5 linked regions of the Xenopus tropicalis genome follow. The protein of the gene in region 1 interacts with the protein of each later gene in a pairwise test. Links are inferred from orthologs where the notes say so. Each region holds a gene or a part of one and is shown in the gene's direction. Other genes may lie near its edges.

What was found.
Region 2: the proteins of kpna3 (region 1) and htt interact in binary tests that used the Homo sapiens proteins (3 or more experiments, as listed by UniProt). The link is inferred for Xenopus tropicalis from reciprocal best matches to the Homo sapiens genes KPNA3 and HTT.
Region 3: the proteins of kpna3 (region 1) and mat2b interact in binary tests that used the Homo sapiens proteins (3 or more experiments, as listed by UniProt). The two-hybrid records come from large-scale screens. The link is inferred for Xenopus tropicalis from reciprocal best matches to the Homo sapiens genes KPNA3 and MAT2B.
Region 4: the proteins of kpna3 (region 1) and ercc3 interact in binary tests that used the Homo sapiens proteins (3 or more experiments, as listed by UniProt). The link is inferred for Xenopus tropicalis from reciprocal best matches to the Homo sapiens genes KPNA3 and ERCC3.
Region 5: the proteins of kpna3 (region 1) and tssc4 interact in binary tests that used the Homo sapiens proteins (3 or more experiments, as listed by UniProt). The two-hybrid records come from large-scale screens. The link is inferred for Xenopus tropicalis from reciprocal best matches to the Homo sapiens genes KPNA3 and TSSC4.

Annotation. Positions count from the first base shown.
Region 1 is NC_030678.2:149,390,339-149,394,590, reverse strand, and holds the start of kpna3 (importin subunit alpha-4), read left to right. Parts: upstream 1-1,443; 5' UTR 1,444-1,522; coding exon 1,523-1,591; intron 1,592-4,252. UniProt on the Homo sapiens protein: Functions in nuclear protein import as an adapter protein for nuclear receptor KPNB1. Binds specifically and directly to substrates containing either a simple or bipartite NLS motif.
Region 2 is NC_030677.2:22,815,884-22,818,652, forward strand, and holds part of htt (huntingtin), read left to right. Parts: intron 1-521; coding exon 522-682; intron 683-1,670; coding exon 1,671-1,884; 3' UTR 1,885-2,769.
Region 3 is NC_030679.2:35,760,533-35,764,048, reverse strand, and holds part of mat2b (methionine adenosyltransferase 2 subunit beta), read left to right. Parts: intron 1-1,388; coding exon 1,389-1,583; intron 1,584-3,516.
Region 4 is NC_030685.2:86,618,834-86,622,955, reverse strand, and holds the start of ercc3 (general transcription and DNA repair factor IIH helicase subunit XPB), read left to right. Parts: upstream 1-1,312; 5' UTR 1,313-1,388; coding exon 1,389-1,416; intron 1,417-3,425; coding exon 3,426-3,634; intron 3,635-4,122. UniProt on the Homo sapiens protein: ATP-dependent 3'-5' DNA helicase/translocase. Binds dsDNA rather than ssDNA, unzipping it in a translocase rather than classical helicase activity. Component of the general transcription and DNA repair factor IIH (TFIIH) core complex.
Region 5 is NC_030680.2:22,340,688-22,344,973, forward strand, and holds the start of tssc4 (protein TSSC4), read left to right. Parts: upstream 1-1,485; 5' UTR 1,486-1,658; exon of another isoform or gene 1,659-1,733; intron 1,734-1,756; exon of another isoform or gene 1,757-2,081; intron 2,082-4,286. UniProt on the Homo sapiens protein: Protein associated with the U5 snRNP, during its maturation and its post-splicing recycling and which is required for spliceosomal tri-snRNP complex assembly in the nucleus.

The DNA of each region.
Region 1 (4,252 bases):
AAGAAGCTGACTCATAGTCTTATTAACTGAGCATGTACACTTGGTCTGGGTGTCTGTGCAGGAGTGAGGCATTATGGGAACTTTCTTTACACAGCTCAGCGTTTTTTCTTCCTGTTTGGCTTCTGATCTGAACAGGAGAAATATGGGGAGACTTAAGGGCACTATTGAGACAACTGAAGGTATGCCTGCAGCTTGGGATTAACTCTTTAAAGGAATACTGTCATGGTAAAACATGTTTATTTCAAAACACATCAGTTAATAGAGCTTCTCCAGCAGAATCCTGCATTGTAATCTGTTTTTCAAAAAAGCAAACTGATTTTTAATATTTCATTTTGAAATTTCTCATGGGCTAGCCATATTCTTCATTTCCCAGGGTGCCACAGCCATGTGACCTGCGCTCTGATAAACATCAGTCACACTTTACTGCTGAGCTGCAAGTTGGAGTGATATCACCCCCCTCCCAGCAGCCGATCAGCAGAACAATGGGAAGGGAGCAAGATAGCAGCTCCCAGTAGGTATTAGAATAGTCCGGAAAAGTCCGGCTTGGGACTCCCAGTTACATGGGAGTAGGAGAAACAATAGGTTAGCTGAAAGCAGTTCTAATGTGTAGCGCTGGCTCCTTCTGAAAGCTCAGACTCAGGCACAACGCACTGAGATGGCGCCTACACACCAATACTACAGCTAAAAATACATTTGTTGGTTCAAGAATAATATTTTAAATGGCAGAGAGAAATAAAAAGTACACCATACAAATCATGACAGTGTCCCTTTAAGAAAGACTTGAGGCGGATCCCTAGCTCGCACATAACACCACCCACCTATGGTGCTCCCAGGGGTTGCCCGAAAGGGCGGAGCCTATAACCCCCGCATTAGATAGAAAGGGAGGAGCAATGAGCCACTGACTCAACACTAGAGCGTTCCTTTGCGGCCATGTGACATCCTACGTCAGGGGAGAGAAAAAAAAGAACAAGTGGCCGCTTTTTAGCTTTCCTGACTTTATTGCGCACTAAGCGAGAGGCAAAAATGCCGCTTCTCCTGATGTTGTCGTACTGCAACTCTCACAGCCCATTCTCTGGATAGCTTTCACTTATTCGCAGAAGCATTGGCGTGAACGATTAGCGTATCCCGATAGGCTTTTGGCTGTCAGACATTCCTTGCGGTTACGGAAAGCCGCAGCATCAGCACGACTCCCTAACGTCAGCTCAAGCGTCATTAGACTTATAGCGCACACGTAAGAAGCATACTTCCACAGGCATGCTCACGCCCCCGTACTCTCAACGCGAGCGCGCACGCCCCGCCCACAGACCGCCCCGATCCCGTGTGAGCGCGCACGCCCCGCCCACAGACCGCCCCGATCCCGTGTGAGCGCGCACGCCCCGCCCCCAGCCTTTCCCCAGCTCCGTCCCTCTGTGTGAGTGCGAGTGCGCGCAGGGCGGAGGAGTGCGGCTGTGGCGCGGCCTTGGAAGTGTTGGTGTCGCAGCCGGTAAACGGGCAGGGGGAAGACACATAAGAAGCAGCCGCCATGGCGGACAACGCCGGCCTAGAGAACCACCGTATCAAAAGCTTTAAGAACAAGGGGCGAGATGTGGAGGTGAGTAACGCAGTGAGTCGATGGGAGGCCTTGCTAGGGCTCAGGCCCTGACCTCTCCCTGAAAAAGCCGGCACTGTCTTCATAAAGTGGCCGGGCCTGCTCTGTCACAGCCGGGGATGGAGTATCCGGGGCACCATAGGGGCCGGGGAGCTTGGGCTGAGAGGCTCTCGCATTGAGGCCTGCCCATGGATGTGCCGTCACTGACACCTGCCCGGGCACTGCCATGCCTCAGCCTTGTGTCAGCGGCTTGTGGGGCATTGTGGGAGATGTAGGCACTAGAAGTGTGTTCTACAGGCATTCCCATAGCCCTGCACTGTAGCCCCCAGTGGGGATCCACATTCTTCCCGGAAGTGGCATTTTCCATAGATGGATAGCACTATGGGTGGGGGGGATGTAGTGACCCACCTGGCATGGCAGCCTCTTCCCCAGCTATGAAGGTTACAGGGCTTACACTTACATCTTGGTGCCACATCTTGGTGCCACATGATCGCAGGGAGTATCCCATTTGTATAAGGTGCTATGAGCCGCTGTGCATGGTGCAGTGCTGGGAATATTTGCAGTTGGCCATCTCACTGTATGACTTAATATCATATCTGCCTGAGATCTAAATCCTATACACAGGCCCAATATAAATCTCTCACCTATGGCAGCTTATTGCAGCCAATTTGCCAGTCTGTGCTTGGCTTGCTTACTATCCATCAGACTGTATTTATATGGCTTATTTCCATGGGTTCAAACAAAGCTTAAGCATGTTGTAGTATTAGATTGCTATTACACAGTCCATTATCTGCCATTATTGTAATAAGAGAAAATGCAGGTACCAGAGCACCCACTGCTGCTCCGTGCAACAGAAATTAAGCAAACTGCACCTTTTTTTCCTGAGGTTTTATTTGCTTTCTTTACCAGCTTTTCCCATCTGTTATGCCTGTTTTCCTCTATTACTTCATGTGCAGATATATTTTCATTACCCCCTCCCATTTTATGCATTCCATATTGTTACCCTATCTCCATGTTTCTTCATTTCACACCTGCACAGCTCTTTGCAGAATATGACACATTGTAACGGCTCAGGAATTAAACAGTCACTTGTAGGCTTATGGTAGCTTCCCAAATTGACCCCACACAGCCATGGAAGGGGGCCCAGCCTAAAGACCACTATGGGGATTGATTTGGGGCGAATACCTATTGGTCTCTTAAAAACTTATCTTGGAGGTCACTTGGAGTAATATTTGGGATGAACGGTTCTTTGATGTCCTAGTGGTTCTTGGAACTATTATTGCATGGTTCATTTAGCAATGTGTTTGGAAACTTATGTTCTAAAGGAGACACTGAACCTCAAATGGGAACCTGAACTGTGGCACTTTGCTCATCACGTTCTCATTTAATCCTGTGCCTAGGCTTCTGTAGTGCCTTGTCAAGGGTCCTGCTATGCATTCATTTGTCATTTCTGTTTAGAATAATAACATATCAGGTGGTGAGCTGTGCTGCCTCAATAATGTAATTGCAATGTTTTGCCAAGATGGTTACTATAACAGACTAGTAACTACAGTTACCCACGGCTGATTATTGACGCACAAAAAATCAATGAGTCTGTAGTACAGGAATCTCCAGTGGATGGGCTTGAGAGAATATACTAAGGCTAAAACACTTAACGGCAGTGCTGTGTGAAACAACTTTGATACTAAGATATTTCTTAATTTACAAATTCACTGAGTCATGGGACAAGTCACTAAGTACAGAGGAAATCGCTAACCTTCTTTAAAGGACAAGGAAAGGCAAAGTCACTTGGGGGTGCCAAAATGTTAGGTACCCCCAAGTGACTTTAATCGCTTACCTTGTACCCCGGGCTGGTGCCCCTGTTAGGAGAAAACGGCACCAGCCCGGGGTACCAGGGGCGATGCGCATCCTCCTTCCTGCTTCGTTAAGCTGTGACTATGCGGTAGGCGCATGCGCAGTAAAGTGAAAAGCCGACTTCTCTGTTAAAGTTCCACTATTCACTCTACTGTGCATGCGTGCGAGGTGAGACAGGAAGGTGGAAGTGCTGGCAGCTACCCCGGGCTGGTGCTGTTCTATCCCAACAGGGGCACCAGTCCGGGGTAAAAGGTAAGCGATTAAAGTCACTTGGGGGTGCCTAACATTTTGGCACCCCCAAGTGACTTTGCCTTTCCATGTCCTTTAAGGTTTTTTGTTTTCTTACAGGTTATTCCTAGCACAGAAAGCTATCAAGGTCTGAACCCTAAATGACCAGCTACACCATCATTATTTATATACATCTGCCAGACCTGCCATCTTTGATATCACCAGAGTGGGCAGGGAAGGCGTGTAGTCAACATTGGCACACCTATGCTTACCTACCAAGGTTCTAGCATGATATTTTGGTCTTCTTTGGCAAGGTCCTCATTTGTAATTTTTTTTCTTCCGGTGATCAGCTTTCCTATTTCACCTCTTTCCAGCCTCCAAGTGAAAATACTGCTTTTTGTATTCACTAAAACCAGACAGAACATTATGTTTTCCAATGTCCATTTGGACTTTGCATCTTTCCAGCAGATAGCAGTTTAAATTACAATTCCGAGATTTGCCAAACGAGCAAAAATAATTATAAAAGTGAAAAAAAGGTAATTGCGATTTCTTCAAGAATACTAATGACTGCATAATGTAAAA
Region 2 (2,769 bases), on another chromosome or scaffold:
CTGCCGGGGTCAGTGACCCCCATTTGAAAGCTGGAAAAAGAGAGAAGAGGAAGGCAAATAATGAAAAAACTGTGCAAAATAAGTGATGAGGACCAATTCAAAAGTTGATTAGGATTAACCATTTTAAAACATACTAAAAGTTAACTTTTAAGGGGTAGTTCACCTTTAAATTGACTTTTAGTATGATGTAGACATTGACATTCTAAGACAATTTGCAATTGGTCTTCATTTTTAATGATTTTCAGGTACTTAGCTCTGTGTTCAGCAGCTATCTGGTTGCTAGGGTGTAATTTACCCTAGCAACCAGGCAGTTGTTTGATTAAGAGTTGGGAATTCTGTGGGTTCAGGCAAATGCCAGAGGGGCTGCTGTCAGATGCCATAGGCAGTCACTATTTATTGGGCTGCTGGGGGGCTGTTTGACTCTGTAGTTGGGGGGGATTGGGTAACGATGTTCCCTTTGCTGCCTGCCTTCAGTGTCCTGTTACTGTTGGGCTGAATCTTCTCTCCCTGTGTGTGTCCAGGTGTTTCAGACATTGCATGCCACCGGGCAGTCGTCTATGGTGCGTGATTGGGTCATGCTGTCTCTCTCCAACTTCACCCAGAGAACCCCCGTTGCCATGGCCATGTGGAGCCTTTCCTGCTTTTTTGTCAGTGCTTCCACCAGCAAGTGGATTTCTGCCATGTATCCTTTATATTTATTACGGCCTCCCCCTGCCATAGAGCGCCCATTGGTTTACATTCCCCTCGCACTCTCCCAGCTAGAAACCTGTCTGAGCCCGGCTGCTCCATAAAGGCTGTGTGCGGCCGGAGCAGGGAAACATACGCTAAAGGGGAGAGAAACTCTCTTCTGAAGTCATTTTTATTTTACACTTAACCAAACATAGAAAGGGCTGCCATCCCCTTCAAGCATATATTTTTACTGACAGTTTTGCACACTCCATTGGGCCCTATTTGCATTTAATCACAGCTTCACGTGGTTGTAGCTTTCACCAGAAAATGCAGTAACAGCGCCCCTAGTGGCTGTAAGGATGGGGCTTTTACTTGTTTGTAGTTCCATAAGGTAAGTTCTGGCATTTTCTGGACACTACCCAGGTTCTGACTGGGCAATAGTCCCAGCTGGTCATTGGCTCAACAGGGTGATCCATACAAGAGACCTGCAATTTTCAGGGTATAATTTCCCTTTTAACACTTTAACCCCCTATATTTAATAACAGGCACTAAGTTTGCCCAGGAGCAGTAACCTATAGCAACCAATCAGCAGGTGGAATTTACTGGTCACCTGTTTAAAAGCAACATCTTATTTGTTGCTATGGGTTACTGCTCCTGGGCAAACTTAGTGCCTGTTATTTCATATAGGGGGTTTAAGTGTTAAAAGGGAAATTATACCCTGAACATTGCAGGTCTCTATTAAAAAGTATATATTTTTCTACTAGTATGTGCCCATTAATAATGCCATTTGTATCCCTATGGCTCATATGAGGCACTGTGCTGAAGGGCACGCATACATGCTAAGTTGCATCAACCAATAAATGGACAGAGGTGGGATTTTGCTCCCACAACTTCCTGTTCCAGTTATTTCCTGTCCCATAAGGCAGTATTCAGGAGTCTCAGTGGTATTGTTGTACAGGAAATGCTTCATTGCTGGTTTTCCTCTTAACCCAGCGCCTCAGTCTCCCACACGTCATTAGCAGAATGGGAAAGTCGGAGCCGGTAGATGTGAATTTATTTTGCCTGGTGGCCATAGACTTCTACAAACATCAGATTGATGAAGAACTGGACCGGAGATCCTTCCAGTCAGTGTTTGAGCTGGTCGCCTCCCCCGGGAGCCCCTATTACCGGCTGCTCTTGTGTTTACAGAACGTGCATAAGATCACTGTGTTCTGATTGGGTCGGCAGTGAATCCACCCTTGAGAACGCATGCATGGGCCTGATATCCCCGGCACAGAGGCTTCTGGGTAATAAAAGACCCTCACCAAATGGAAGTGGAGCTTCTGTAGCCGGGCACTTGGCACTCATTCTGCACTGAATGTTTTTGTAAATACCTTCTGATGATAAATTTGCTTTATTAACGTGAGCGTAAATATCACACATTGGCACATTTATGGTAGGGGCGGGTCTGTAACATCGCAAAGCCACACTAAAAATAAAGGACAACTACCAACTCAGTCCAACAAGCCATTCAGTAGATTCACTCGGCATCTTTTGTGAGACCTTTGTATCCGTCTGTCGCGTCTACTAGAGATCTTGTGACGACGCCCAGTAGAGCGTTAGATCTGTCACTTCCAACTTGAATGGCATAGAGAGAGAGATCTGGTTATGGGTGTTTGTGGGTGTGGCCTAATGATGGAACATTGTAGGTTGTTTTTTTTTTTGTCCTTAGCATCAGTGGGCGGGGACATGCGCAAACCCAGCTCCGCACTAACCTTCCAATTCCTCATAATTTGAGTATTATTATACAAGGGAACGACATTTATCCTGGGACTTCTGTAGCAAAGGGACCCCCAAAAGACAAAAAGATGTAAAACAAATTTATCGTATTCCAACTAATACATATTTTCAGTATATACATTAGGGATGTCCAATCTGAATCCCTCTAGCTGTTATTAATGGAAACCCTCCGAACAAATTCATGTTTTATTGCTCCGGCGCCACCTGCTGTTCATTTCTGCAGATTGGACTCTGTCGGCTGAAATTTGAGTTATTGAAAACAGGAAAGTCCTGTGATGTTATTCAGCTTCCATCTGACCAGAGAAAGTCAGGTGACCCTTC
Region 3 (3,516 bases), on another chromosome or scaffold:
ATGGTGAGGGACCAAAATGTTGAGCAAAATAAACCTTTGGAGTGAGTGCTGTTTATGTTGTTTCTCAGCTCGGACATCCAGGTAAAATAACAGTTTATGGGGTGAACCTACACGCGATAAAACAGTATTAATATTTTTTAATACGTTCCTACAGGTCATGTTGATAGCCTTTTGTAAGTAATTGTTACTTACAGTTTCTAAACCTGACTGTTTGGCCAACCCTTTCAACCTGTCAGACTTTCTGACACTTAACAGACTACCGCAACACAAATATGGCAGCCCCCTCTTCAAGGAACATGGAGGGTAATGTAAAAGCATCATGCAAAATCATTAAGGCATGTTTAGAAAGTGCAAGTAAAGACAATGTTACATTAGATGTAAAACAAGGTTTAATTTCTGGTGTCAGTAACTCTTTAAATTGATCTTCTAAACATTTGTTTGAGCAGGTATAATTGACACAGGTTCTATCGCCTTTTAATTCTAGCCGCACATGGACACTGATCAGGTCCTGCTAGATGTAAAAAATACAATATATATCTCTCTGTGTCTGTTGCTGGAGCCACATAATTAGGTACAAATCCTGCTCCATCTGTACATTGAATACTTGTTCAAGCACACCAGAACCCCTGGGAGCCTGCAAAAGCTCATATTACATAACTTGTCATTTTAAATCTTTTTCTATAATTCAGTAACTGTTAACCTGAAACCCAGTGAGATTATGAGTCAAGTAACCTGCAGGCTGTATTGGAAACAAAACTAACAGTAATTTAGGTTGACAAGTTCAGTAAATCTGGAACTGTTGTGTATTTTGCTGCCTTGTTTAGAAGAATTCAGGCAGAAAGACTACTATATATATAAGTTTCAGTAAAATATGAAGCCATTTATGTTGGTTAAATATTTTGATTTAAACTTGTTAAGCTGGTTGCATATCTTCATGTTTCTGCACAAAAGCCATATCAAAACTAGATAATTAGAGCAAAGCTGTTTTTAAGCAAACTAAAATATATAGGTTAGAGTTGACACCCTACCAATTACACTGCATGGTTCTGGGATTGTGTTGCCCAGTTGCAGTCCCCCAAAGGTATGTTTTTTTGCTGACTCAAACTTTGAAATGATCCAATACACAAACATATTGATTATTAATAATCAGCTTTTTAAATGGAAGGCTTGGGTAACAGTTTTCTACTGTACAGCATGTGATGTTACAATGTAACACGGCAGCTACTTCTGCCTTGAAAATGCAATTTCGTTTTGGTTAAAAATTGTTACATTAGACAAAGGTTGGAACTGGTTCAAAAATGTGGATAATTGACTTTCATGGTAACTGAATCTACTGAGCATGTTTTTGTTTTTAAGGATGATACTGAGCATGTGTTTATATTTTTTAGGATGATGTTACTATTCCTGGTAGAAGGGCTCTGATAACCGGTGCAACTGGACTTCTTGGTCGAGCTGTATATAAAGAGTTTAAGGAGAACAGTTGGCATGTGCTGGGCTGTGGGTACAGTCGTGCTCGGCCCAGATTTGAATACCTCAACCTATTAGATGCAGCAGCAGTGAAAGCACTCATCCAAGACTTTAAGGTAAGCTAAATGATAGATATTATATTAGTTACTGCCCTGCTCTTCTCACAGGCAATGTCCCTTGACCAGTGTGGTTTCTCTGAAATGGTGTTGATATTCATGTTCAGCAGTGCAGGTATGGGATCAGTTACCTGAAACCTATTATCCAGAAAGCTCAGAATTAAAGGATGGTCAACTCTCACAGATTTGATTTTAAGTGAATAATTCTAGTTTTCTTTTAAAGCGATTACCCCTCTTTCTGTTAAAATAAAACAGTACCTTGTAGTTGATGGTAATTAAGCAGCATGAATCCATATTGAAGGCAGTACAATCCGATTGGGTTTATTTATTCTTTAAATTATTTTCTATCAGGCTTAAGATATGTGATCCAACTTACAGAAAGATCCCTTTATGGAAAACTTAAGGTCCCAAGCATTCCAGATAGTAGATGGCATTCTGCATCTTAGTCTTCATTAAAAGACGCTATGTGGGTAGCTCAAGTGACCCCAGCCTTTGAAAATTTAGGGTGATTATGCTGAAAAATCGACATTGGGGTAATTGGTACAGAACTTGATAAGATAACCTCAGACATAATGATTGATTGGGCATTGCTTTATTTATTTATTTATGTTTTTTAAATTGTCCAGTTGTATTGACCATAAAAGAAATGTAAAGTCAAAAGATAAACCAAAGTAAGCTCTGAATGCTTTTCTGAACACTTTTGCACATCACATTCATTTTCTGCTTTGAGAAGTTCAAAGGATTATGGCAGTGTTATACTGGTATAAGGGACCTGTTTGGTTTGCCTGTGGTCTCGGTGGACTGCCGAGCTGTCAGTATAAGGATTAAAGGACATGGTGACCCCACACACAAAAACTGAATCAGTGAACAGCCTCTTTGAAATCTTTCAATACCTGCCATACTGGTTGTCCAGAGGTTAATAGTAAGGCTGCAGCATCTCCTTAATCACTTAGATTTCCTTCGCCTCCTGTAACCCACTCAGCCGCCTCCCTCAGGAATTTGCTTAGACTTCTGGCTTGTGGGCATGCTCAGTTATTTTAAGCTCAGATTACTAAACATGCCCCCCAGTCTAGCAGCCAGTGAAGAGATGGCATTGCTGGTTCCCATAGAAACTCAGCTCTAGCTGTCTGCTTCAATTTTTAATTCTCCTAACCTCCTCTCCTGAGATCAGCTCAAACAAAGCAGAACTTTTATCAAAGACAGTTCTGCCTGTGCGAGCCAGTATTCTTGATGAAATGTATGCTGAATAAGAGTCTGTGTGTGTGTGTGTGTATGCTGTTTGCAGATTTAAATGTATCTGATTATGTATCAGAGGAAAAATGGCCCCCGGGTGAAAGCTGCTATTTGCTTTAGGAAAATGTGACGGTGCTGGCAAACAGAGGGGATACATGCAGTACAAATGATGCCATTTGGGTGGGGGAGACGTGCCCAACTGATATACATTGTAGGCAAATGTAGGCTTTACATGTCCTTTAATTAAATTTGTGTTCTGAGTCTCCACCTGGACACCACTCTGCACACACTGGAGGGAAGCAGTTTTTCCATGCATTTGTCAGTACTGTAAATCCCCAGGGAATAAGGATGGAATATGCAAACTGGTGTCTCATCATTTCTACCTGCTAACATTTTTAACATCTTAAATGAGAAACAGTACATTGCAAAAAAACTGAGCATATACAGTGGTGTGAAAAACTATTTGCCCCCTTCCTGATTTCTTATTCTTTTGCATGTTTGTCACACAAAATGTTTCTGATCATCAAACACATTTAACTATTAGTCAAAGATAACACAAGTAAACACAAAATGCAGTTTTTAAATGAGGGTTTTTATTATTTAGGGAGAAAAAAAATCCAAACCTACATGGCCCTGTGTGAAAAAGTAATTGCCCCCTGAACCTAATAACTGGTTGGGCCACCCTTAGCAGCAATAACTG
Region 4 (4,122 bases), on another chromosome or scaffold:
CCCCTGTAAGCTGATAGGGTGCATAGAGGCCCCTAATAGCCAATCACAGCCCTTATTTGGCTCCTCCATGAACATTTATGGTGCTTGTGTTGCTCTCCAAGTCTTTTTACTTTGACTGTGGTTCCCGAGTAAGAAAGGTTGGGGATCCCTGGTATAGAGGTAGGTTCATGAGTCCTAGAACTGTGATGACCCAGCAGCGAGCCAGTTTCTGATTTTGTTAGTCCATTCGCTGCAGTGTGTTCTGGGCTCTTCCGTAGCCTCTGTCCCCCATGTATTTGTAATTAGGGGACATACATTATAGTCATAGTAGTAGTAGCAGGAGCCAGGGTTGGACTGGGGGGTGCAGGGCCCACCGAGGCTACCCCCCGGGGGGCCCGCACCCCACAAGGGGCCTCTTCTGGCTGCGTCCCCTGCTGGGGCCCCCACCGCACACCCCTATCCCCTCACAGGGCCCCCCGCCCGACGTCCTCCCCCGAGCTTGCGTATGTGAAACCCATCAGGGGGGGACACCAACGGCCAGGGGAAGCTGCAACAGGGTCGGGTCTGGGCCGATGGGGCCCACCATGTCCGGGGGCCCACCATGTCCAGGGGCCCACAGGGTATTTTCCCGGTGTCCCAGCAGCCCCTGTCCGGCCCTGGCAGGAGCTATTTCCATGTCTATTATTCCCACACCTTTCAGTGAACCTTTAGTATGTTATAGAATGGCCTATTCTAAGAAACTTTTCAATTGGTCTTCATTATTTATTTGTTATAGTTTTTAATATCTGCCGCTTTCTTCTGACTCTTTTCCCCTTTAATTGTCAAATGGGGGTCACTGACCCCGGCAGCCAAACCCTATTGCTCTGTGAGGCTCCAGTTTTATTGTTATTGTTATTGTTATTACTTTTCTTTCTGTTTAGGTCCCTCTCCTACAAACATATCAGTCTCTCATTCGAACCAATTCCTGGTCGCTCGGGTAATTTAGACCCTAGCAACCAGATAACTGCTGAAACTGGAGAGCTGCTGCACAAAAAGGGAAATATTTACAAAACCAGGAATAATACAAAAAAATGAAGACCAATTGCAAATTGTCTCAGGATATTACTCTCTATGTTATACTAAACGTTAACTCAAAGGTGAACAATCCCTCCAATTGAGATTCTGTCATGACTCCCCCGCCCTTTTCTCCCCCCTGCCCATCATCTCTGTGGGTTTTTTCCCCAGCGAGAACGATCCTAGCGATTTCTATAGTGGGTGCTTTACACAAAGGGGCCGCCAGGTGGCAGCATTGAGATTTTCCAGAGCAACAAGTAGCAAATGTCTCTTGCCGGTTTCCGTAGTGCGCACCGGAAGTGGGGAAGAAGCAGCAGAAGAAGCAGCCGGAAGGTGTTGCTGCCAGGGAACCTGCGATGGGCAAGAGGGATAAGGCGGACAGAGGTAGGGACAGTGTCCCATAGTCTGTGGGGCTTTGTGCCGTGTGGTAGCGCTAAACTCAGGGGAGGGAGGGGGTTAATAACGCAGGGGCCTTCTGGGAGTTTCACGTAATTCCGTGCATTTGCCTTGGGTTATACCCCCAATAGGTGCCTCAGGGTTATACCCCCAATAGGTACCTCAGGGTTATACCCCCAATAGGTGCCTCAGGGTTATACCCCCAATAGGTGCCTCAGGGTTATACCCCCAATAGGTGCCTCAGGGTTATACCCCCCAATAGGTGCCTCAGGGTTATACCCCCCAATAGGTGCCTCAGGGTTATACCCCCCAATAGGTGCCTCAGGGTTATACCCCCAATAGGTACCTCAGGGTTATTACCCCCCAATAGGTGCCTCAGGGTTATACCCCAATAGGTGCCTCAGGGTTATACCCCCAATAGGTGCCTCAGGGTTATACCCCCAATAGGTACCTCAGGGTTATACCCCCAATAGGTGCCTCAGGGTTATACCCCCAATAGGTACCTCAGGGTTATACCCCCAATAGGTGCCTCAGGGTTATACCCCCAATAGTACCTCAGGGTTATACCCCAATAGGCCTCAGGGTTATACCCCAATAGGTGCCTCAGGGTTATACCCCCAATAGGTGCCTCAGGGTTATACCCCCAATAGGTACCTCAGGGTTATACCCCCCAATAGGCTGCCTCAGGGTTATACCCCCAATAGGCGCCTCAGGGGTTATACCCCCAATAGGTGCCTCAGGGTTATACCCCCAATAGGTGCCTCAGGGTTATACCCCCAATTGGCCTCAGGGTTATACCCCCAATAGGTGCCTCAGGGTTATACCCCCCAATAGGTGCCTCAGGGTTATACCCCCAATAGGTGCCTCAGGGTTATACCCCCCAATAGGTGCCTCAGGGTTATACCCCCAATAGGTGCCTCAGGGTTATACCCCCAATAGGTGCCTCAGGGTTATACCCCCAATAGGTGCCTCAGGGTTATACCCCCAATAGGTGCCTCAGGGTTATACCCCCAATAGGTGCCTCAGGGTTATACCCCCAATAGGTGCCTCAGGGTTATACCCCCAATAGGTGACCTCAGGGTTATACCCCCCAATAGGGCCCCTCAGGGTTATACCCCCAATAGGTGCCTCAGGGTTATACCCCCAATAGGTGCCTCAGGGTTATACCCCCAATAGGTGCCTCAGGGTTATACCCCCAATAGGCGCCTCAGGGTTATACCCCCCAATAGGTACCTCAGGGTTATACCCCCAATAGGTACCTCAGGGTTATACCCCCAATAGGCGCCTCAGGGTTATACCCCCCAATAGGTACCTCAGGGTTATACCCCCAATAGGTGCCTCAGGGTTATACCCCCAATAGGTGCCTCAGGGTTATACCCCCCAATAGGTGCCTCAGGGTTATACCCCCAATAGGTACCTCAGGGTTATACCCCCAATAGGCGCCTCAGGGTTATACCCCCCAATAGGTACCTCAGGGTTATACCCCCAATAGGTGCCTCAGGGTTATACCCCCAATAGGTACCTCAGGGTTATACCCCCAATAGGCGCCTCAGGGTTATACCCCCAATAGGTACCTCAGGGTTATACCCCCAATAGGTGCCTCAGGGTTATACCCCCAATAGGTACCTCAGGGTTATACCCCCAATAGGCGCCTCAGGGTTATACCCCCCAATAGGTACCTCAGGGTTATACCCCCCAATAGGTACCTCAGGGTTATACCCCCAATAGGTACCTCAGGGTTATACCCCCAATAGGCGCCTCAGGGTTATACCCCCCAATAGGTACCTCAGGGTTATACCCCCAATAGGTGCCTCAGGGTTATACCCCCAATAGGTGCCTCAGGGTTATACCCCCCAATAGGTGCCTCAGGGTTATACCCCCCAATAGGTACCTCAGGGTTATACCCCCAATAGGCGCCTCAGGGTTATACCCCCAATAGGCGCAGCAGGATAATACCCCCAATAGGCGCCACTGACCTACTCTGATTTCCCTCCCAGGAGACAAAAAGAAGTTCAAGCGGCGTCACTATGAGGAAGAGGATGAAGAGGAAGAGGAGGTGCCCGGGGGCGAATACCAGGAAGCCGTTCCTTCTGCCGCGGGAAAGCAAGTGGACGAAGCCGGCACAAAGCAGGATGAGTACGGAGCCAAAGACTATCGCCTGCAGATGCCTCTGAAAATGGATCATTCCTCTCGCCCCCTGTGGGTGGTACGTTCCATATGTTACTCTGAGGCGGCTAGCGGATTCCATTAAAGGGCTTGTTTACCTTTGAATTAACTGAGTTAATATGACGTAGACATTAATCTGAGCCAATTTTTTATTGGTTTTTATTTTTTGTCGTTAAGTAGCTCTCCAGTTTGGCATTTCAGCTGCTACCTTGTTGCTAGGGTCTTGTTTACCCTAGCAACCAGGCGGTGGTTTAAATGAAAGACTGGAATATGAAGAGGAGAGGGCCCGGATTAAAGAAAAAAGTATAAAGTTACAATATTAATACAATTGTAAACTTCAGGGCAATAGTTTTCGGCTGTCGGGTCACTTGAAAGCCGGAAAAATGTAGAAGTAAATCAGTCGCTGATGGAAAAACATTGGATTTAATTTAATCTAAAATATCTGTGAACTCTCCTGACTCGGGGGTGGTTGGGCTAAAGGGAAAGCTGTACCATTAGTTGGCGCGGGGTTCAGCCCAAATTACCCCT
Region 5 (4,286 bases), on another chromosome or scaffold:
TCCCTAGGCACACCAAACTGCCCTCGGTGCTATCAGGGGTGTCAAACAGATAAAAGTGGCCAGTGGACCCCTTGTTGCATTTAGCTGGCTGCTGGGCAACCTTTCCAGTGCCAAAGAAGAAGGGCAGAAAGCCTGGGCAAGTGGTGATGATAGTGGCATAGGTTACCTTAGTAACCTAACTTTATGGAGAGGAGACTCAGCTTTCCCCATGGCCAAAGAGGGACCCAAAGAGACAGGGGACCCAGTAAAAAGCAGCTGACATTCCCCATTCACAGCCCCTATGGCCCATGGGTGGTATGGGGGTGTCCAGAGATCCCAAGGTACACCCCTGGCTTCACTGTATTGGACAAGATTATTCAACTGCTTCACAGGTGCCAAAGAAGAAGGGCAGAAAGCCTGGGCAAGTGGTGATGATAGTGGCATAGGTTACCTTAGTAACCTTAGTAACTTAACTTTATGGAGAGGAGACTCAGCTTTCGCCATGGCCAAAGAGGGACCCAAAGAGACAGGGGACCCAGTAAAAAGCAGCCCACATTCCCCATTCACAGCCCCTATGGTCCATGGGTGGTATGGGGGTGTCCAGAGATCCCAAGATACACCCCTGGCTTCACTGTATTGGACAAGATTATTCAACTGCTTCACAGGCCTCATACACAGGCCAATTTCAGTTGCCGATATTTGTCCTTTAGACCTTGCCAACAAGCGGATCTTACAGTGTATGGCCCCCTTTATAATCAACTTGGTTCTCAGCTTCTTTTCTTACACAATACCCAGAAGTCATGGATACCATTACAAATCACAAGGCACTAGTACCCACCCAGGCGGCACACAATTATTTACCTACTGGGCACTTAGGGACCTAGACTGTGGGCCCCGCCAACAAGTCACCAATGGAAAAATAAGAATAATGGGCAGCACATGCATAACCAAGGCCCTGATCAACCCCAGTCACATCCCATTAGAGTAAAATCTTGCCCACAATCCACCTAAACCCTACCCACTCCCCCTGCCCTTTAATGACCAGTGAATCCTTCTTCTGGAGCCCCCTCTGCCACAGGGCCTCTGATTGCAGCACCCCTTTACCCCACTGATGGCAGCCCTTCCTATAGTAATTGGAAACACAATTGCAATTCTCTGCCCATGGCTATGATGCAGGCTACATGTTTGCTGAGATGTCATTTGGGGCAATGTAGTAAATCATAAATATCCCCATAGACACTGTATTGCCTGCTTATATAGTAACCTGGGATCCCTATGGAATGGGTTATTCTAGGTGCAACCATTAAGCAGAGATCATGTAAAAGCACTGCTAAATGCCAATTTGAGAGGGGAAAAAAGTACATAAACTTTCATAGAAATTTCTTTATTTTCCAATTACACAAATACAACTTTCCCCATTCGCGCCTTTAGCCTCGTTTGCAACACACACATGCAGTTGGAAGAACACCCCACTAGAGGGCGTTCTGAAGCGCCGCCCCCAACCTCGCACACTCATTGTTGTTTAGCACTTCCGCGTATTAGCGAGGTGCATGCTGGGAGGAGGCAGATTGAAGCCCGGGAAAACCTTATGGCTTGTTAGTTTGCGGTATGGAGGAGGCGGAGAAGAGAGAAACCATTATAGCTGAGCTGAGAGCGATAGAGAGCAGCGCTGCCAACCTGTGAGGCCCCGCTAGTGTGAATGGGAGAATGGTGACTATAGCGTTAGGCCCAGGGAGACAGTCACATGATGCAGTGTAAGGCGGCAGCGGCCCTGTGGATGTAGCGATCCGATTAGGGATATCCCTGCGCTCCTTCCTTGGTACCGCCATACCGGAAGTGTTCTGGGACGCGCATCCATTAATACCGTCCCGCATTTGTGCTTCAGGCATAGCTTCATGAGCCCGCACCTTGCCTGGCTGGCTGGGAAGGACATATAATGTGCAACGTTTGTTAAATATTTTGAGTGTATCTATCGGTGCTGCCTTCATTCTGGGGTTCCACTGTGACTTCCGGTATCACCCCAATAGGGGTGGGAGTTATAAATAAATCTCAACTTGAGGGTAGTGAGTTGGACATTGATGTAGTAAGCAGGAAAATATAAGGTACAGACTGGGTCCCACAATTCGGCCATATGCAATGGAATATTCTCCTGTTTGGTTAGAGATGCCAAGAAAGGCATAGGGAAGGGATTTTACACTAGAAGGAGCATCCCTGCTGGGCTCAGTAATGGAAATGACATGTTGTACAGTTCTGCACCTCACTTGGGTGGCGGGAATATCAAGGGGGCGGGGAATTAGAAGCACCCAATGACTGTCCTTAGAATACATTCAGACGTGTGATTGGATGATGGAATTGCATTTCTTATTATTAGAGATCTTTCTATTAATGTTGATGTGCCCTGTCTCTGACTGCACTGCTAGTCCTAACTCTTGGGAATGGTGATTCCTTCATTATTTATACATTGTCTGAATTTCTCTTTCATATTGGAAAATGCAGTCATACCTCCCAACTGTCCCGCTTTATGCGGGACAGTCCCGATTTTGCCACCCTGTCCCGCTGTCCCGGATAGCTGCAGATCTGTCCCACTTTTAAAGGTCTCTGCTCCCGTGACGCCACACGCACGTCTCCCCTTAGCGCCACAGCTTCTGCGCCGCTCACTTCAGTTTTAACATAAAGCCATTCACAGTGCAGCAGCTGCGGCACTCAAGAGACGTGCATGTGACGTCACGAGGAGGAGAAGAAGAGCCCTGGGGCACAGCCGGAGGAAGCTGGTGGTGGTAGGAGCAGGGGGTGCCACAGAAAGCAGGTTGACGCTGGGGAGGACACTGGAGGAAGGTTAGGGGCAGCTGGAGGACCCTGGGAGGCAGCTGGAGGATGCTGGGGGGAGCTGGAGGATGTTGGGGGAGCTGAAGGATATTGTGGAGGATGTTGGGGGGAGCTGGAGGATTTTGGGGGGAGCTGAAGGATTTTGGGGGGAGCTGAAGGATGTTGGGTAGGACGCTGGGAGGAGCTGAAGGATGTTGGGTGGATGCTGGGGGCAGCTGAAGGATGTTGGGGAGGATGCTGCAGTGGGGAGCAGCCCGTAGTAGGGGGACACTGCGGGAGGACCAGCAATGTTTTAGGGGGTCCCTGCTCTAGCGCCAATGCAAAACATAACACCTGGCTACCAATGTCTGGTCATGAGTTTGTCATTAAATACAGGTGCCACAGTGCATAATGAAATCCTTAGGGCCACAATATGTCATAAAATGATTGGGGCCACCGTGTCTGTCTTCTGGTGCACTTTGTGTATGTTATGCTTTTCAGGTGTGGTTTTGTAAAATGGGCCTGTTTGGGGGGGGCGTGGCCATAAAGTGGGCGTGGCCTAAAAATGTTGGCTTGCGCGCCAGACATTTCTGTCCCTCCTTCTGCTTTTCAAATGTTGGGAGGTATGAATGCAGTAGCATTGCTGGGTAGGCTGGCATGTTCCCATGATTTACTCTCTTATAAATACAGTCAGTGGCATGAATTTATATTTTGTGTTCGTTAAGTGACTCCTCGCTTTAGTGTTTTACACCATAACATTCCATTACACCTTTTTAGTGATCAAATTAAGGTGTTCTTTAAATTCTAAAATAGTTACTCATTTGCCTGTTATGGGACATCTATGTGTCTGTAGGCCTACAGTTCACCCTCTGTATACTGCCTGGCTGGGGTTTCAGGCCTGCCTGCCATTGCAAAGAGGTGGCCATTTAATTGAATTGGTATAAATGAATGTGGTTTTTGTCAGGAGAATCTACTTGGCAGTTAGCAAGGGAGGTGCTATGTGGGACATATTAATAGGCACCCTTGCAACTATTAATCATTTATTGGTGCCTATGAATTTACCTTTATAGATTCTAAGGTATGAAAATGGGTGGACACCCCTAGTGCCAACTTCTAGTGGCTCTGGTGCTGCTTCGGGATGGCAGAGATTTGCCAAAGTAAAAAATTCTTCCATGGTAGCTTCTATATTAGTCTGCATGTAATGTAAAATATGATGATGATGTTATGAATTTCGGACATGTTGGGACTCGATGTGAGGGCCGTTTATTTGGAAGAAATGGCCGTGTAGCTAATGTTAGGCTCTTCATGTAAAACTTACTGGCAGACCTTGCTAGGGTTGGCACGTAGTTGACAGGAGACAACTTGCTGACACTTGATGTGAGTGAGGACTGGTTATGTGGGATATATGTCTGTTTCAGTGGATATAATGAAATCCTAGCTACCGCAGGCTTTTATTCCAAGCAGAGGCTTTTGTTAGAACTTGAACACCAGTTAAAATGAAC